Linked DNA regions of Oryctolagus cuniculus. The protein of the gene in region 3 purifies or fractionates together with the protein of the main gene of each other region. This does not show direct contact. Links are inferred from orthologs where the notes say so. Each region holds a gene or a part of one and is shown on either strand. Other genes may lie near its edges.

The links.
Region 1: the proteins of MAP3K5 (region 3) and DAXX purify together in Homo sapiens (affinity purification with western blotting; 7 studies listed by BioGRID and IntAct, with this or other methods). This does not show direct contact. The link is inferred for Oryctolagus cuniculus from reciprocal best matches to the Homo sapiens genes MAP3K5 and DAXX.
Region 2: the proteins of MAP3K5 (region 3) and MAP2K3 purify together in Homo sapiens (co-immunoprecipitation; 4 studies listed by BioGRID and IntAct, with this or other methods). This does not show direct contact. The link is inferred for Oryctolagus cuniculus from reciprocal best matches to the Homo sapiens genes MAP3K5 and MAP2K3.
Region 4: the proteins of MAP3K5 (region 3) and STUB1 purify together in Homo sapiens (affinity purification with western blotting; 3 studies listed by BioGRID). This does not show direct contact. The link is inferred for Oryctolagus cuniculus from reciprocal best matches to the Homo sapiens genes MAP3K5 and STUB1.
Region 5: the proteins of MAP3K5 (region 3) and ARRB1 purify together in Homo sapiens (affinity purification with western blotting; 3 studies listed by BioGRID and IntAct, with this or other methods). This does not show direct contact. The link is inferred for Oryctolagus cuniculus from reciprocal best matches to the Homo sapiens genes MAP3K5 and ARRB1.

What each region holds. Positions count from the first base shown.
Region 1 is NC_091436.1:135,802,946-135,807,166, reverse strand, and holds the start of DAXX (death domain-associated protein 6), read right to left. Parts: upstream 2,810-4,221; 5' UTR 2,671-2,809; exon of another isoform or gene 2,553-2,670; intron 2,446-2,552; exon of another isoform or gene 2,312-2,445; intron 2,180-2,311; exon of another isoform or gene 2,043-2,179; intron 1,462-2,042; 5' UTR 1,410-1,461; coding exon 1,203-1,409; intron 1,049-1,202; coding exon 217-1,048; intron 117-216; coding exon 1-116. UniProt on the Homo sapiens protein: Transcription corepressor known to repress transcriptional potential of several sumoylated transcription factors. Down-regulates basal and activated transcription.
Region 2 is NC_091448.1:65,856,994-65,860,506, reverse strand, and holds part of MAP2K3 (dual specificity mitogen-activated protein kinase kinase 3), read left to right. Parts: intron 1-587; coding exon 588-654; intron 655-906; coding exon 907-955; intron 956-1,581; coding exon 1,582-1,695; intron 1,696-1,824; coding exon 1,825-1,944; intron 1,945-2,505; coding exon 2,506-2,622; intron 2,623-3,337; coding exon 3,338-3,389; intron 3,390-3,513. UniProt on the Homo sapiens protein: Dual specificity kinase. Is activated by cytokines and environmental stress in vivo. Catalyzes the concomitant phosphorylation of a threonine and a tyrosine residue in the MAP kinase p38.
Region 3 is NC_091436.1:32,275,212-32,278,724, reverse strand, and holds part of MAP3K5 (mitogen-activated protein kinase kinase kinase 5), read right to left. Parts: intron 1,687-3,513; coding exon 1,509-1,686; intron 1,431-1,508; coding exon 1,262-1,430; intron 1-1,261. UniProt on the Homo sapiens protein: Serine/threonine kinase which acts as an essential component of the MAP kinase signal transduction pathway. Plays an important role in the cascades of cellular responses evoked by changes in the environment.
Region 4 is NC_091450.1:34,026,446-34,029,729, forward strand, and holds STUB1 (E3 ubiquitin-protein ligase CHIP), read right to left. Parts: upstream 2,081-3,284; coding exon 1,925-2,080; intron 1,758-1,924; coding exon 1,559-1,757; intron 1,484-1,558; coding exon 1,318-1,483; exon of another isoform or gene 1,234-1,317; coding exon 1,146-1,233; exon of another isoform or gene 1,024-1,145; coding exon 781-1,023; exon of another isoform or gene 711-780; coding exon 585-710; 3' UTR 514-584; downstream 1-513. Other genes in the region: JMJD8 (jmjC domain-containing protein 8), read left to right, coding at 1-6, 78-145, 219-353, 430-510; RHBDL1 (rhomboid-related protein 1), read right to left, coding at 2,420-3,074, 3,146-3,206, 3,276-3,284. UniProt on the Homo sapiens protein: E3 ubiquitin-protein ligase which targets misfolded chaperone substrates towards proteasomal degradation.
Region 5 is NC_091432.1:66,421,637-66,425,149, forward strand, and holds part of ARRB1 (beta-arrestin-1), read right to left. Parts: intron 1,972-3,513; coding exon 1,927-1,971; intron 1,375-1,926; coding exon 1,178-1,374; intron 168-1,177; coding exon 108-167; intron 1-107. UniProt on the Homo sapiens protein: Functions in regulating agonist-mediated G-protein coupled receptor (GPCR) signaling by mediating both receptor desensitization and resensitization processes.

The DNA.
Region 1 (4,221 bases), about 100 Mb from region 3:
TCTGTCTTGCATCATTGCGTATTTGGAGATGACCTCGTCTAGGCGGCTCAAGGCCAAGGTCCGGTTTTCCCGAAGGCGCCGGGCCAAGGCAGGATCTGACAGTGCAGGGTCAATGCCTACATGGGAAGATATGACAGCAGAGCACTCAGCCCACACCCTGGCAGAGAGGGCGAGCGGTCCCCTCTGCCTCCGACGGGCACCCCGCTAACCCGCTACCTGGCCTGTAGTCATCCGTGAGGTGGCAGCCGAAGTTGTAGATGAGGTCGAGATGGCGTCGCTCCTGTAGCCTGACGCCCACATCTCGGAAGGCGTCCTGGGCCATGAGCTGGAGCTGCTGGCGCGGGAGGCCGAGGCTGTGCCGGACAGCTGCCTTCTCTACGGCCCGCAGCACATCACCGTAGTCGGGGAAGGTGTCGGGGCCTGGCTTGTTGATGAGCCGCTCGATGCGCCTGTTGACCTCTGGGTAGCGGGTGCCGCGGTAGGGGATGCGCTGCTCTATGACCCGGCCGGTCAGCGAAGAGCAGTCTTTCAGCTCGCACAGTCGCCCAAAGAGGCGGATCAGCTTCCGCTTCAAGCGCGACTCCTGCAGGTACGTGGAGTCTGGGTCATCCAGTTCTGACAGATCCAGCTCCTTCTCCTGCAGCCTCCGGATCTCCGCCACGTACAGTGCCAGCAGCTGCTCTAGGCGCTGGATCTGCCGGCGGGAGCCACGGGTCCTTGGGGCCTCGGAGACAGCGGCCTCAGCATTGCCGGGCTCCGAGGCCGGGTCTGCAGAAGTATTACTCCCAGAGGGCTCACTGGAGGCGGTGGCAGCAGGAGCGAAGTTCAGCTTCTTCTTGGCTGAGTGGGCCTTGAGAACGGTGCAGAGCTCGTTGATGTAGACGTAGAGCTTGGCGGGCCGGCTCCGGGCCCGGGACAGGACCCGAGAGAGGATGTTGCAGAACTCGGCTGAGGCCAAAAACACAGAGTGGGCACGCTGCTGCCGACTGGAGAGGAACGGGACCACCTCAGGGTGGTCCGCTGTCTGCGTCTTACACAGTTCAAGGAACTGGAGGGTTCGGGGGAAGAAGAGAGCGGACAAGAGACAAGGGAGGGGGTTGAGAGAGAGAAGGGGGGGTGCAGTTAGTGGGGGAGAGAGGACCAGAGAGCCAGTGCGCCATCCCCCTCCCTGGGGTATAAGAATCTTCTCCCCTAAAGCTCACCTCTTCAAACAGCTTCTCATTCTCCAACTTGTAGCATTTCTTGCCGCCAGAACTACTGCTTCCTCCGGCCCCATGGGGCTCAGAGGAGCCAGGGGCTTCTGCCTGGGGTGAGGCCGGAGTGGGGGGTGGGTGGGAGGGCCCTGGCTGAGCGACTGCTTCATCTTCGTCATCATCATCCAGCACAATGATGCTGTTAGCGGTGGCCATGAGGGATCAAATCCCCCGGAGGGAGGAAGTGTTGGGGGTTTCAGAATTCCTGCTGGAAGGGGATGGGGCCTCAGAAAGAGCCCCTCCAGCATAGCCCCTCCCTTCAGCTCAGTTTCCAATCTCCGTGGGTTTCAGCAACACCCAGCCCTGCCCAACAGTGTCCTCACTGCCTGTCTTCTGCAACCATTAGCTCTGGATGCCTTCCCGGGCCCTTCAAGTGGCCCAGGACAGGGAACCGCAAACATTCAATCGCCACACCCAGCTCTACCTCTCACATTGGCTTCCGGTCTTTCTGTTCCATCTCCCCACTATTTCTCATAGTTGTCAAGTTGGTTCTTCCAACCCCAGTCCCGCTTCCCAGATTCCCATGACACCCTCACACACGGAAAACACACTCGCTCTGGCTGCCTCACGTCTGGCCCCTTTCACCCCGAAACATGTCAAACCCATACCCCACCCTTAATGATCACCCCAACTCCTAGACAATCCAACAGTCCTCTCAACGATCCATTCTCCTTTCCCCTCCTGCTATTAACTCCGTATTTCACCCTCTGATGGGCTTCTTCAAACCAGGGCACTGGGTTGGAGTATGACACCTCAAGAGCCCTCCCTCTCACCCCACCCTGATTTTACCTGGTCGCTCTCTGTGACTTGTAACCGATCGTGAGACCTACAGTGGGCTCTCCCGATTCTTCTCGGATCCCACCCTTGAGTCGCGCCGGCAGGGTAGATGAGCTTCCCGCCAAGTCCCCCTCCCCCAGGTCAGACCCCTAGCCGCCCCACTTCCCTTCAGGAATAAGGTACCAGAGCATGCCTCTCAGACTCAGAGCCCGCGTCTCCCCAGTACCGCCTCCTCGATATCCCCTCCCCCGTTTTCGCTCCCCACACAGTCCGGCCCGCACCTCAGAAACGGTCTCACGAGACGACCCTCGCCGCTGATCTCAGAACCTCGCATGGTTCCCTCCGCCTTCCTTCCCCCTCCCACCGCAGGCCCCACTACAGACCGGAAGCCGCGGAGTTTCCGCCTACACGCGTATAAGCGCGGCCATATTGTCGTACGGAGCCCAGCCTTCCTGCTTCCGGAAGGCCCCACCGAGCGTGCCTAGTACCGCCCACCTAGCCCGCGACTCCCTTCCCCCTGACCTGTAGGGGGCGGGGCCTGCCCCTTCAGGGCGTCCCGAAGTTGCTGGGGGCCGCCATTTTGTTGTACGGCCCCAGCTCTGCAGTGACTTGGGCCCTCAGCCGGCGGAGCTATTTTCACCTGGTGCTTCTGGGACTCCGCCAATCAGAAACTTCCTGCCTCGAGCCCAACCGCCAGCTAGTCGCGTGCCGAGACCACTGAGCCACCTTTCCCAGGGGTGGGAGGGGGGCAGTGGAATAGGCTGGCTGAAGAACTGGGGTCGCCAAGGCTGTGCATGGCTTCAGGAAAGGGCAGGCGTGTCTAAACGGGGAAATAAAACCTTTTCCTTCCGCTGGGCAATTAGTGAGGCTTCCGGTCCTGCTTTCCTATCTCCCAGGTACCGGTTTCCACCGCTTAATGGGCTTTGCGCCCCTCGCCGCTGCCCGGCCGCCGCTTCCACTTCCAGGTGCTACGTCCCCGGCCGGGAAATGTCGACGCATGCGTACAAACGAGCACCGCGCTCCCTGAAGGTGGTGGTGGTGGTATTACTATCGCTACGTTGTTGTTGACTGGCTTTCCGAGCTCCGCCTCAGAACTAATCAGCGTCCAAGCCGGCGGGACCCGAGCGGCGCTGCGCTGTTCTCCGAGTGGGGCCTGGACGCTGCGGCGGCATCGGCCCCTCGAGGCTCTGTCGTGGGGTCCGGGGGCTGGGGGGAGCAGCTGGGCGATGGCCCCCGCGCGTGCGGGGAGACGCGGTGGTCTCCTGCTCCTCAGGGAGAGCCGAGGACAGAGTGAGGAAGGAGCCGGAGGAGACGCCTCGCGTGGGGGAGGCCGGGCCGCGTCCCGAGGCGCGCTTGCGGGGACAGCGCGAAGCCCACGCGCGGGTGGTGGCCTCCTGCCTCAGGCCCGCGGCCTTGCATCCCTGACGCTTCCTTTGAGAATCCCTGTCACTTCTCGCCAGTCGTCCAGGCCTACAGCCTTCAAATTGAGCAACAAAACTCGCCAAGACCACTGGGTCTTGACAAAGAGGATTTAAGTTTCAGATCCTCAGCTTTCCCAAAATTGGGCTCCCAGAGCGAGCGCCTGCGGTAGAGGTTCTCCCTCTTCCTTCCCCTTCACAATGGACTTTCTCCATCTTATAATAATTCACAGCCGTGAAGTTGCCTGGGTCTCTTACCTGGCTGAAGTCAAAAGACACGTGGTCTATTTCAGCGATGCACCATGAACACAATCTTCTAGCTTATTAAAAATTCGTAATGCAAAAATTTGCACAATCTTTGTGCTGCTTGATAAATTCGTTTTTCATAATTGTAACGATAAATATTTTTAACAAAGAGTCAAAATCGCAAGAAAGACTTTTTTATTTAAAAAAATGTTTTTTATTTGACAGGTAGAGTTAGAGACAGAGAGAAAGGTCTTCCTTACGTTGGTTCACCCCCCAAATGGCCACTACGGCTGGCGCTGTGCCGATCCGAAGCCAGGAGCCAGGTGCTTCCTCCTGGTCTCCCATGCGGGTGCAGGGCCCAGGCACTTGGGCCATCCTCCACTGCCTTCCCGGGCCACAGCAGAGAGCTGTACTGGAAGAGGAGCAACCGGGACTAGAACCCGGCGCCCATATGGGATGCCGGCGCCGCAGGTGGAGGATTAACCAAGTGAGCCACGGCGCCGGCCCCAAGAAAGACATTTTTCATC
Region 2 (3,513 bases), on a different chromosome or scaffold from region 3:
TGATGGGACGCCAGCCGCGTCTGGCGTGCGGTGCCTGTGCTGTGTCTCAGTTCCCGCCCTGTGCCGTGGGGACGAACAGCTGTGCCCTCAGTTGGGAGCTGTGGCGAGCGCGTCAGCAGGTCACCCTGGGTCGGGGCCTAGCACTGTCCCTTCCCCCTACCAGTGCAGGGCCTGGCAAACCCCAGGCACTCAGACCTGGCCCCGTGCCCCGGTGCTGGACAGGCTGCGAGCCTCGTCCCCTCGTCCCTCACGCCTGGTGAGCTCCTGGCGGGTTCTGGGTGCAGCCCAGCTCCTGCGGGCCCACAGGGCTTGAGCCTCAGCCATGTGTGGGGCCAGCACAGTGTGGGGTGTGGCCCTGAACTGGGCCCCGGGGCGCTGCTCCACCTGTACCATTGCTGTGAGGGTGGGTGCTGAGCCCCGGGCCGCCCCGGTGCTGGGAGACCCTCAGGCCCCTGTGAGTGGGAAGCAGGACCCCCTTGAGAGGGGGCACCTTAAGTCAGCTCTGTCCCTAGCCTGGCCCGTCCCTGGGGAGCCTAGGGCATGTTGGTGGACTGGGGGTTGACCAGATGCCTCTTCTCTCTTTTTAGGAAAATCCAAGAGGAAGAAGGATTTACGGATCTCCTGTGTGTCCAAGCCGCCTGCGCCCAACCCCACGTGAGTCGGTCTCAGTTTCCCCCGGCTCATCTTGGACAGGCTTCCTGGGGTCCCGGCGGAGGGAGCCCCGAGGAAGGGGGCTGGCCCTGCCCTGAGTGGCAGAGGGTTGGGGGGGGAGGTCCCAGCATCACTGAAGCTCTGTGCCCCACCCCATCCTGGGGGCTTGGCCCATGTGACAGCTGGGGTCCCCTGCAGCTCCTCAGCCCACCCTGGCCCTCTTTGAACTCAGTGTCTGCTTCCCCTCCCCCACAGACCACCCCGGAACTTGGACTCCCGAACCTTTATCACCATCGGAGACAGGGTAGGTGCCGCCGCCGCCGCCGCCGCAGCCCTGGGCGCAGCCTCGCCATTCTCTGATGAGCGCACCACGCTGAGCCGCTGGGAGGGCCCTGGGAGGTGGAGGAGCCTGGCTCCTGGGGTTGCTGGCCGTGGCCCTGGGCCGCCTTCTCTCTGACATCCCTGCAACCTGGGGTCCGTGGGGAGCCGAGTGAGCATGGCGCTCTCCGGAGCAGGCTCCTGGGCCAGCCAATGCCCCCACGTGCCCACCCAGGCTTGCCTGACCTCCGGGGCCCTCCCTCGACTGCCCAATCGCTGTTCTATCACCTGCACACTCGTCTCTCCTGGTGGAAGGAGCCCCTTTGAGGGCAAGGCCTTCCTTTTGTTCTCACTGGGAGACTTGCACGTGGCAGGTGCACTCAAGTGGCCGGGGGTGGGGGCGAGGGAAAGGGCAGCTCCCGGGCTCCCTTGGGTGTTGGTATAATGAGCAGCTCAGAGAGGTTCAGTGACTTACCCAGGGTCACACAGCAGGGACCGAGCCCAGATCTGAAAAACCGATCTTCTCTCTCCACGGTCCCAGCTGTCCCCACTGGGCCAGCTCCCAACTGGGTGCCCACCAACCCCCTCTCTATTCTGCCCCTCCCTCCCAAGAACTTCGAGGTGGAGGCCGATGACCTGGTGACCATCTCAGAGCTGGGCCGTGGCGCCTACGGGGTGGTGGAGAAAGTGCGGCATGCCCAGAGTGGCACCATCATGGCCGTGAAGGTAAGCGCCGTGCCCACTCGGCTCCAGGGCCTGGAGGCAACCGGGAGGGCTGCCTGGAGGAGGTGTGCGGGCGAGGGCTGTCTGCCCCCTGCCGGGGCGGCCTCTCCACTGCAGCCCCTTTCCCCGCAGCGGATTCGGGCCACCGTGAACTCACAGGAGCAGAAACGGCTGCTCATGGACCTGGATATCAACATGCGCACAGTGGACTGCTTCTACACCGTCACCTTCTACGGGGCGCTCTTCCGAGAGGTGCGGCCTGGCAGGGTGGGGGCAGGGGGTGGGGTGTCGAGGGGCCTGCGCCAGTCTGCCTGTCTGCCAGGAGCCTCTGTCACTCAGCCCCGCCTTTCTGCATACCAGGGGTTGGGGACACGGGGCAGGCTAAGCAGAGCCTGCACAGCTGGGATCTTAAGCAGCCCAGGCCCTGGCATGGGACGGGCCCGGCTCCCTTGCCTGCCATCTGGCACTGCCCTGCTCTGTGCCTCCGTTTCTCTGTCTGTGACTATACGCACCTCTCAGCGCCCTCCTGTGGTGGGCATGGGGGCTGAAGCCATGCACCAGCAGGTGCAGCTGCAGCCTGGGGGTCGGGGGCGGGGCCTGGCTGTGCAGGGGTGAGGTTCTGGGTCTGCAGGAAGGGCAGGCGAGGCAGCCAGGGCTGAGCCACCACAAGGCAGGGGGCAGCGAGGCAGGCCCGTGTTGCTGGCTGGCTCACGGCTGTCCTGGAGGGCTGTGGGTTTAGGAAGCAGAGGGAGAGGCCGACGTCCCAGGTCGGCGCAGGCGCGCAGGCCCGGCTAAGCCCGGTGCCGCCCCCAGGGAGACGTGTGGATCTGCATGGAGCTCATGGACACGTCGTTGGACAAGTTCTACCGCAAGGTGCTGGAGAAAGGCATGACAATCCCGGAGGACATCCTGGGGGAGATCGCCGTGTCTGTAAGTAGGCTTGGCGGGGGCGGGTTTCCAGGGCCAGGGCCAGAGGCCCCCTGGTACTGCTCAGCTCCCTGACTCCAGACCGGAGCCTTCTCGCTGGGAGATGCCAGACCAGGCTCCGGCCTCTAAGAGCAACTCTGTAGCCCCTGCCATTGTTAAAAAAGAAACTTAGCATTTCCACCTGCCTCCCACCAAGCACAGCGCAGGGCAGCTGCAGGGGTGCAGGCCAGGCTGGGGAAGGTCCGCATTGAAGCGCTGGGTCTTGGAGGAGGGCTGGAGCATCCTGGCAGCCAGAGGGAAAAGGGCAACGGGCTTCTTGGTACCACCAGAGGCTGTCCACCCTGAGTGGGGACATTGAAAGCAGGGTGACTTCCTACGAGGCCAGCAGCTTGCCGGACCAGGGCAGGGGACTCGGGGAGACTGGGCTCTGCCCCAGAGGAGCCTGGTCGGTGGTGTGATGGCCCTGGGAGGGGGGTACAGCCTGGGATCCCTGGGGGTCCGGGGCAGGGCTTATGACCCTGAGGGTGAGAGGGGGCGGGCAGGAGGTGGGCGTGTCTGGGCCAGGATATCCGGGGTGCCAGGGCAGCTGCTGGGTCATAGGCAGGAGTCCGGGTGGGGGCGGGGGTGGCAGGGCTGCAGGGGGCTCAGGAGGTGGACATAGGGTTGTGGGAGGGGTCTGGCTGCTCCGATCCTCACCGGCCGGCCCTGCCCTCCCCAGGTGGTGCGGGCCCTGGAGCACCTGCACAGCAAGCTCTCGGTGATCCACAGAGGTCAGTGCTGTGGGAGGAGCCTCGGGCTGTGGGGCGGGGAGGCAGCTGGGGTGGGGGACCCCCTGCCCAGCCCAGAGCCTCCTCTCCCGCCCCGTGCCTGGGGCCACTTGTCCCGGCTGGGGAT
Region 3 (3,513 bases):
CAGCCCAAGCCCCTGCCACCCAACTGAGATACTGGATATACTTCCTGGTTCCTGGCTTCAGCCTGGCCCAGACTTGGTTGTTGCAGCCATTTGGGGAGTAAACCAGTGGATGGAAGATCTCTCTCTGCATTTCAAATAAATAAATAAATAAGGAAATAAATCTTAATTAAAAATAAGAGGCAGCAGGGGTTCACCTGTACAGAGAAAAGTCCATGTGAAGGCACAGCGAGAAGGAAACCATCTGCATACCTAGGAGAGAGGTCTTCGGAGAAACCAAAGCCTCTGACATCTTGACCTTGGACTTGTCAATTCTAGAACTCAGAGAAAACAAACGTCTGTGGCTGAAGCCTCCTAGCCTGTGGTATTTTGCTTCAGCATCTCTAGCACACAAATACACCACGGAGCAACAACTTCATCACCCAGAATTGCTTGGTTCACTGCACACAGAACCCTCTAACAGCGAACAGCAGAGACTTCTTAGAGCTCTCACCCTGCATCTGAACCCAGTGCCACAAGAACCACGTCTCTGCTGTGGTTGTGATGCTTCCCAAACATTCAAAACCACAGCTGGCAGGTGGCTTCCTGCTAACATGGGAGTCAGAGGTACACAAGGCTCAAGGCCTGTTGACTGAACAAATGGAATTAAAAGAATAAACAAATGAACAAACAGGGCTGAAAGGGACTGGCTGTAACCTCTCCAACATAAAAAAAAATTGCTTCTGACTTAAAAATAGCTTCCTGGGGGGACACTAAGCCTCCACCTGTGGCGTCGGCATCCCATATGGGCACTGGTTCGTGTCCCGGCTGCTCCTCTTCAGATCCAGCTCTCTGCTATGGCCTGGGAAAGCAGTAGAAGATGGCCCAAGTGCTTGAGCCTCTGTTCCCACATGGGAGATCCAGTAGAAGCTCCTGGTTCCTGGCTTCAGATTGGCACAGCTCTAGCCATTGCGGCCATTTGGGGAGCAAGCCAGCAGATGGAGGTCCTTTCTCTCTGTCTCTCCCTCTCTCTGTAACTCTCCATTTCACATAAATAAATAAAATCTTTTTTAAAAAAGAATAGCTTCCCCATTCCAGTCTCTATATTAGGAACTGCTTCTTTCCGTTCCCAGGATAGTCTATCACGGCGAGCACCTCAGGGGCCTCATGGCTCCCATGCTCTGTGACAGCCCCAGGTGCTGTGACACAGGGAGAACTTGTAAGCTCTGGACACAAAGTATCACTGAGGGGTAGGGGTGGGGGTGGAGGTGGGGTGGGGCCGTACCTGAGCTAGAGATTCCATCAGGTTTCTCACAATTTTGTCTTGGTCTTCAGTCAGGATCCTGTGCAGCGTGGCGCGGCGCTCGCTGTCCTTCCGCAGCAGGAAGAACCCAGAGTCCTTCTCCTCGGGGGAAGGGGGTGCGCTGTGGTCCTCGAAGTTCTCATCTGGAATGCTGAAACGAGGGGAGCGGCATGAGGCGCAAGGTCCCGGGGAGCCACGCGCCCGCCCCCCGGGCCAGGCAGCCCTTTACCCCAGGAAGAGGGTCCGTATTCCTTTGACATCTTTCTCGCCGCAGGATTTGGCTCTGGTTTTGAAGGAGAAGGGGTCCGCCTTTAGCTCAGTGTCGGGGGAAACAGAGCCGTACTCGCTGCTGCTGCTCGTGTCCTCCACCAGGACGGGCACCGGCAAGGAGATGCTCCTGAGATACTCTGCGTGGACGAGAAGCAACAGGCATAACTCACACCTCTGACAACTGACACGTGGCGAGGGGCGGGCATTGTGGCACAGCGGGTTGGGACCCCGCATCCTCATCAGAGTACCTGGAATTGAGCCTTTGTTTCCCATCTGGCTTCCTGCCACTGCACCTGGGAGGTAACAGGTAACGGCTCGAGTATTTTGGTCCATTCTACCCTTGGGGCAGACTCAGATGGAGTTTCTAGCTCCTGCCTATGGCCTGGAGCAGCTCTGGCTGTTGCAGGCATTTAGGGAGTAAACCAGTAAACGGAAGATCTCTGTCTCTCATACTTGCGCGCGCTCTCTCTCTCTCTGCCTTTCAAATAAATTTTTGTTTAAAAAGTACACATGTTGAAATAGCTGCAGAAAGATGCCAACAGTCGTCTTCACGTATCTCAGTGCAATGAGAGGTGTAATTCTGCTACTCAAGGAGCTGGCTGTGTGACTGTGATTGCCCCGAGCTCAGTAAAGAAATGTAAGCCACGAAAGGGACTCCCGGGCCCTGAAAGGAATCTCTCAAGGATATGAAAGAGATGTAGAAGCACCAGGCTTCGGATCCCTTCATTTTATTAACTATTTATTATTTTATCCACAGGTCTCCATTTTCACATCTATAAGATACAGAACCAGATTCAATTTTTAGAGATGTATTTTATTTATTTGAAAGGCAGAGTGACAGAAAAACATCTCACCTCTTCTGACTGGGCCTGATCAATACCAGGAGCCAAGAACTCCATCCAGGTCTCCCGCATGGGTGGCAGGGGCCCAGGTGCTTGGGCCATCTTCCACTGCCTTCCCAGGCACATTAGCAGAGGGCTGGGAAACTTGTAATTTATAAGCCATGTTCTTCAGAGCTTTAAGAATCCTCCTTAGCACTGGGGTTGCCAAGGGTGGGGTGGGTGTGAGGCTGAGTCTGGACCACAGGTCCAACTCTATTTTTCTAAAACGAGTAACGCTCTGGCCAGCATGTATCTTGGCTTTGTATGAGGAGGCAAATGAAAAGGCATTCTCTGCTAAGAACAGATTCTGGAAAGCAATGGACTAATGATCTCTTTGGTCCGTAGTTCTCAGATACTATGGTTGTATAGCAAACACAGGCTTCTACTTTATTCAGATGGGGACTAAGCTGGCACAATGGGGGCTGCTGACCTTTCATCAAACACTGGTTTTAAGAACAAAATATTTGCCAGAAACGTTTTTATCAAACACGTATTCCAGCGCTCCAAAAGTCTTTTGCTAAAGAAGGCAGACGTGAAATTATTAGAAAAGAAATCCACTGTTGCCTGGAAACTCCTCTCTACTTGCTTCCTCTTGGGCTGGGCTGAAGCAGCAACTGGTCTCAAGGTCAGGAGACGGGGGTGGACATCTGATAAGCAGTTGAGATGCTGCTCGGGACGCCTGTATCCCACATCAGAGTGCCAGGTTCCACACCAGCTGCTCACTTCTGATCCAGCCTCCTGCTAATGCAAACCCCGGGGGCAGCAGGTGATGGCTCAGGCAGCTGGATTCCTGCCATCCACATGGAAGATGGAGTTCCTGGCTCTTGGCTTCAGCTTGGCGCAGCCCTGGCTCTTATAGGCATTCTGGGATTGAAACAACAGATGGAAGATCTCTCTCTCTCTCTCTCTGTCTCTCAGATAAAATGAAAATAGATTTAAAAATTTTTTTTAAAGTCGGGGGATGGCCAGTCAGCAGTGGCTTCCTGACTCCATTTGCTACAGTGACAAATCGATGCTCATGAACAGGATGGGGTGGTGGCAGTGGGCCACGGAGACAAATGGACATACTGGAGGAACACTCGT
Region 4 (3,284 bases), on a different chromosome or scaffold from region 3:
TGGCAGGTGCTCCCGGGAGCCGGGGACGGGGGCAGGGCAGGGGGGTGTGGTTTTTTGCTCACCCGCCAAACCCACAGGCGCGGGCACCGGGGTGCCCTTCCACTGGCACGGGCCCGGGTATTCGGAGGTCATCTACGGCCGCAAGGTCAGTGCCGTGGGCAGGGGCTGGGCGCGCGGACCCGCGGACCCGGGGTGAGCGTGCGCTTCCCCTCCCCCAGCGCTGGTTCCTGTACCCGCCCGAGAAGACGCCGCAGTTCCACCCCAACGAGACCACGCTGGCCTGGCTCCGGGACACGTACCCAGGCCTGGCCCCGGCCGCGCGGCCGCTCGAGTGCACCATCTCCGCGGGCGAGGTCCGGGCCGGGGCCGGGGCCGGGGCCGGGGCGGGGGAGGCGAGGCCCCCCGCTGACGCCCGCGCCCCTCCCGCAGGTGCTGTACTTCCCGGCCCGCTGGTGGCACGCCACGCTCAACCTGGACACGTGCGTGTTCATCTCCACCTTCCTGGGCTAGCGCTCGTGCTCACGGACTTTATTGCAGGACAGGGGCGGCGCCGGGGCGGGGGCGGGGGCGGGCCTTGCAGGGGCTCAGTAGTCCTCCACCCAGCCGTTCTCCGAGATGAACGCGTCGATGACCTCCTTCATGGCCAGGTTGGGGATGAGCTGCTCCTGGGTCAGGGGGCTCCGGGTCACGGGGTCAAAGTGGCCCACGCGCTGCGGGGACAGCGGGGTCAGCGGCGCGGCGGGGCGGGGCGCCCGGCCGGGCCGCCGCGGCCGCACCCACCTGCAGGTGCTCCTCGATGTCCTTGCGGTCGTAGGTGATGCCGCTGGGGGTGATGCAGGGCTCCCGCATCAGCTCGAAGCTGATCTTGCCGCACAGATAGTCGGGGACGTCGCGCCTCTGCACACAGGGCGCGCTCAGTGGGCGGGCGGCCGGCACCTGCCCACGGGCCCCGCCGACAAGGCTCACCTTTCTCTTCTCGTCCACTTGCGAGAAGAGCTCGTCCATGTCCGCCAAGTACTTGTCCTGGAAGAAGCGAGGGGGCGCTGCCCCGGGGCCGCACACGGCCCTCCCCCGGCCCAGCGCCGCCTGCCCCCGCCGCCCCCGCCGCCCCCGGGGCCCGCGCCCGCCGGCCGGGCCGCCCTCACGTGCTTGGCCTCAATGCAGGCCTGCTGGGCGCGGACGTGGCCGTCGTCCTCGTCCCCCTCGTGGCTCCGCTGGCACTCCTCCAGCTCCCTGCGGGCGAGCGGCCGCGCGTCAGGACCCGCCCCGCCCCGCCCCGCCCCGCCCCGCTGTCAATAAACGCGCGGAGGGGCCCACCTCTCGCGCTCGGCCGCGATGAGCCTGGCGAGGTAGGCGTGCAGCTCGCTCTCCTGGTGGATGCGCCGCTCCTCCAGGCTGTTCCAGCGCTTCTTCTTGGCGATGCGCAGCGCGCTGGGGATGTCGTCGCCGAAGTTGAGCCGCTGCTCCTTGGCCAGGCTGTAGGCTGCGGGCGCGGGGCGCGCGGTCAGCCCGGCCGGCCGCCCGCAGCCGCGCCGCGCGCCCCGCGCCGCGCGCCCACCTCGCTGCAGGTTGGCGATGGCCTCGTCGTAGCTCTCCAGCTCCAGCTGGCACTGGCCCAGGAAGAAGTGCGCCTTCACCGACTGGCCGTCCAGCTCCAGCGCGCGCCGGCAGTCGGCCAGCGCCTGCTCGTGCTGCTGCATCTTCAGGTAGCACAGGGCGCGGTTGGTGTAGTACACCGCCACCAGCGGGTTGCGCGTCTGGGGAGAGCGGGCGGCCGCGCTGTGGGCGTGCGCGCGGGCCGCACCCGCACCGCACCCGCACCCGGGCGGCCGCCGCCGCCGGGGCCGAGTCAAACGCCCCAAGCCGGGGGGCCCCGAAGGGCCGCGCCCCGGCGCCAGGCCCGCCCCCGGCGCGGCGCACTCACGATGGCGCGGCCGTAGCAGGCCGCCGCCTCCGGGTACTTGCGGCCCACGAAGAGCCGGTTGCCCTGCTCCTTGAGCTCCTGCGCGCTCGGGCTCTTCTCGGGGCTGCCGCCGCCGCCCAGCCGCGCGCCGCCCTCCTTCTCCTCCTTGCCCTTCATGGCGCCGCGCGGCACGGCCTGGGCTCCGCTCGCGGGCTCCGCGCCCGGCCGCCCGCAGCCCGCGCCCCGCTCGGCCCGGCCCGGATCGCCGCCACCGGAACTTCCGGCCGCGGGGGGCGGGGTCGCGCGTGCGCGCTGCGGCGGGGTGGGGGCGGGGCCCGCCGCGCGGAGCCTCCGAAGGACCGCCTCCCTGCGGCCGGGCTCCGCCCCTCCGCGCACGCCCCGCCCCCGGCATGGGGGCAGCGGGAGGCCGAGGCGTGCAGCGCGTGCGGGCCCCCGGGGGCGGGCCCCGCCGGCGGAGACGACCCAGGACGCCCTGACCCGCAGCTGAGTACGGCCTCAGCTGCCGCAGCCGCCCGGGCACCCTGTGCGGCCCGTGAGGCAGCGTCCGCACAGGTGGGAGCGACCCCGCCGGCGCCGCCCCCTCGGCATGGGCGGTGGGACACCGTGCCTGACCGGCCCCAGCCTGGCCCCCTCCCCCACGGCGTGCAGGCCGAACTCGTGGGCCAGGACACCCACCGCCTGTCCCCTGGGGCCGCAGCCCAGTCCCTTCGTAGATGGGAGGGCCCCGCACGGTCCGCGGGAAGCGGGGGGCAGAGACGCCTCCAGACCCCGGACAGCCACCTGGTGCCGTGTAAAATATTTATTCACTCTGCAAAAGGCGCGGACCGCGGACCCGGGGGCGGGGCGGGGGCAGGGCCTCCCCTGTGCCCAGGAGGCGGTCAGGGCGGCGGGGGGACGTGGGCGCCCAGCAGGTCGTAGGCAAAGACGTTCCAGAAGACGGCGAAGAGCAGGAAGGTGCCGTAGGCCAGCAGGACCACCCACCAGCCGCACTGGTCCCGCAGGCGCTCCTCGTAGCTGCGTAGGATGGTGAGGCCCATGCTCACGCCCACCACGGCGCCCGCCAGGTGCGCCATGAAGCTGGGCTGCGGGCCCGAGGCGGGCAGCGGCGGCGAGAAGCGCAGCCACACGGCGCGGCCCACCTCCGAGCTCACTGCGGAGGGAGGCGGCAGGTGGGCGGCGCCCCGCCCGCGGGCCCGCCCCGCCCGCCCCGCCCCTACTCACTGCACACCAGGGCCAGCACCATCCGCAGCAGCTTGTAGGGACACCGCATCCCAGCCCAGTTCTGAGGGGCGCGGAGAGGCCGTGAGACAGGCCCGCGGCGCCCGCCCCGCCCCCCGCGGGCGCCCATTACCATGACGAC
Region 5 (3,513 bases), on a different chromosome or scaffold from region 3:
CTCCAACAAGGCAGGTGGTCCTATGGGTCCAGCACCAACCAGGGAGAAGGCCAGGACCTGGGGACAAGAGGGCCCTGGACCAGAGAGATTCCCCTGGGGTGACCTACCTTGCCCGTGTCCTCGGGCCCGGGCTGCAGTGTCACAGAGCATGGCAGGTTTGGAGGAATCTGTTCAGGAGACAGAACGAGCCACTGTCACCCGCACTCCTGCCACTCCCACACATCATCACACCAGGCCCTTGAGAGCCTGTGCCTGTCCCATCAGATGAGGGCCCCGAGGACAAGACACGTCTCCCCCATCAGACTAGAGGCTCCCGAGGACAAGCTGGGCCTCCCCATCAGACCGTGCCATGCCATGCCTCCCGCAGCCCTGTCGTCGCGGTCATAGCAGGGAAGGAGGCTTCCTTGGCGTCTGCTGCAGAGTGACGGCCCCCAAGGCTGCCTGCCCCCTGCTGCCCCCAGCCTGTGGCTAGGTCACCTTCCACAGCAACACGACTCTGCAGCTGCGACTGAGTCAAGGACCTGGGATTGTGGGGGAGGCGGTAATCCAGGTGGGAGGGGGGGAGGTGGTAATCCAGGTGGGAGAGGCAGTAATCCAGGTGGGGGAGGCAGTAATCCAGGTGGGGGGAGGCGGTAATCCAGGAACACGGCCACACCAGCACCCAGATCCAGGCCCGGCAAGACCCATATCAGACTTGCAGCTGCCAGAGCTGTGAGATCACCCACGTCAGCTGCCTTAATCGCTGTGGGTAATCGCCCGGGGCCTGCGGGGCAGTGCAGGAAACTCACATCCGCACAGAGAGACGCCCGCAGCCCGCCTGGCTCTAATGCCCACAGCATGGAATCAGCCTAGGAGCTCGGCGTTCTGGAACCCAGAATCTGGGTCTTGGAATCGGCAGGGGGCAGGGCAGGGCATTGGAGCTGGGAGGCAGGCGGGCCCAGCGATCTGGGGCCACACAGCACAGTGCTCCTTCTCTCTGCGGCCCCTGGGTTCCCCTCCCTCCTACTCAGCGGGGATCCCACAAGTAAGGAGGACGCTCTAGCAGTGACCAGAGAAGAGACAGGTACCAGGTCACGTAAGTGCCCCAGGGCCCAGCATACGTGGGACAAGTGGGTGACACGGAGCAGCTGCCCCCTTCCGCCCTTCCAGAAGGGGCCCGAGGGTGGCAGTCCCTGACCTCAAAGGTAAATGGGTAGGCGTGCTCGCCCAGCTTCTTGATGAGCCGCTCCTGCAGCCGCGTCAGGGGCTTCTTGTCCTCAGGGGCCGGCGGGAAGGACTGCACGTTGGCCACAAACAGGTCCTTGCGAAAGGTCAGGCCCAGGACGTCCAGGTCCTCCCGGCCATAGCGGAAGGCGCAGGTGAGTGTCACATAGACTGTGGGGGAGCAGGGGCCACTGAGGAGGGGCCTGGAGAGCAGCAGGGAGCCTCCCCCACCCAGAGCTCCCGCTGCAGCCCGGCGGTCACCCATCTCCCTTTGGAGAGGCCAGGACTGGGGGCCTGGAAGGGCAGCCCATGGGCTGTGTGCCTGTGGGTGTGTTGCCGGTGGCTATCTCTGTCCCACTCTTGCCTGGTTGGGGTGGGGGCACAGGGAGTGGTCTGATGGGCAGTGAGGGCTGGGGCTGGTGGGCAGGGGACAGCAGGGGAGGGCGAGCTAATGCTGGGAGGTGTCTGCCAGGCATCTCGTCCCTTCCTCCCGCTGACCCTGCAGAATCCCTTCCCCTCCCTGGGGCCCTGTCCTAACTCCTGCTCTGTCGGCATCCCCAGCCCTCACTGGTGTGAAAGGGCTGGGGCAGGAGGCCCCACTAGGGATGGGCAGGGAGTGGCAGTGGGATGAGCCGGAGGCCCCCTGGGAGGCCAGGAGGTCCCTGGACAGAGGAGGCGTGGGAGAGGGGCCCCGTGGCAGGTGGGGGTGGGGCTGCAGCCTACCTCTCCTCTCTTTCAGGTATTCGGGATCCACCAGGACCACACCATCTGCGAGAGCACAGAGAGAGTGACCTTCCCAACCCCTGAGCCCCAAATGCCACCCTACACTCAATCCTCCATCCACCCAAACGCACCATGAGAGAAATGGGAAGGCCAACCCCGGGGGCGGCACCCCAGCCCCAGCCCCACCAAGCCCTCCCCTCCTCTCCCCCAGGTCAGCGGGATAGACCCAGCTGACTGGGTGGCTCCGGGAAGATTAGGGACCTCTCCTCATCTCTAAGGAAGAGTAATGACATGAGGCGGAGGGAGTGGGGCGCTGTGGCGCAGGGGGTTAAGTCACAGCTTGTGATGCCGCATCCCTTATCCGAGTGCCTGGAATTGAGTCCCGTCTCTACTTCTGGTCCAGCTGCCAGCTACGTGTACACTGAGAGGCAGCAGAGGATGGCTCAAGTGCTTGGCTCCCTGCCACCCTAGTGCAAATCTGGATGGAGTTCCTGGCTCCCGGTTCTGGCCTGGCCCAGCCCTGGCTGCGGTAGTCCTCTGGGGAGTGAACCAGTGGATGGAAGATCTCTATCACTCTCTCTCTCTCTCTCTGTCATTCTGCATTTCAAATAAATAAATCTTCAATAAAGAGAGGACAGTGACACAGGCTGGGAGACCCCAGGACCACACTTCGGAGCGGGGCAGTTCTGACTAGCGCATGTTCCATAGGTCCCACACTGTGCTCACAGGGCAAGCCACTCCCCCCTCCGCAAGGAAACCCAAGGCCGTCTGTTCCTGGCCCCAGCATTCACTCAGCAGTGGCTGCACAACAGGGCGGCCCTGTCAGGCAATGCCACCCAGGACACAGCTGCCTCAGCTTCTGCATGTGCACGCAGTGACGTCACCCAATGACACATCAGAAGGCAGACGCGCCACTGCGTTCACCCCTACCCCTCCCAGGCCAGCTAGGGCCCAGCCTCCCATCAGTTCCGGTCAAGTTCCACAGATAAACGAACTGTGCATCATGCCGAGGGACAGCTGCGGGACTTTCGAGCTTCTTGCATTTGGGGTTTGTGGGTCAGGGGCTGTGATCTGCATGGCTCACTCCCAGGGCTCCTGGGAAGACTGACTGGGGACACTGTGCAAAATGTCACACGTGTGAGCCACCCGGACAGAGTTTGGCAGGCGTGAGCCCTGTGGCCAGTGAGCGAGCAAGCTGGCCCTTCAGAGCACAGGCTCCAGCCGACCTGGCGCCAGCTCCCCAGGAGCCCAGAGACACTGGCACAGGGGCAACCTCCCGCCTCACCCATGTCTGTCTCCTCTCTGATCCCCACGCCCACCCCGGGCTGCCACAGGGCCACTCGTGATCTCAGAGGCTCTGGCTGGAAGTGAGTGCCACCCTGGCAGCTCCAAGTGACAGGGCACTGCCCACACACCTTCCCTCTGTTTTGTTTTTAAGATTTATTTATTTACTTCAAAGGCAGAGTAACAGAGAAAGAGAGGTCTTCCATCTGCTGGTTCACTCCCCAAATGCCCAAAACAACCAGCACTGGGCCAGGCCAAAGCTGGGATCCTAGAACTTCCATTCAGGTCTCTCATGCAGACGGC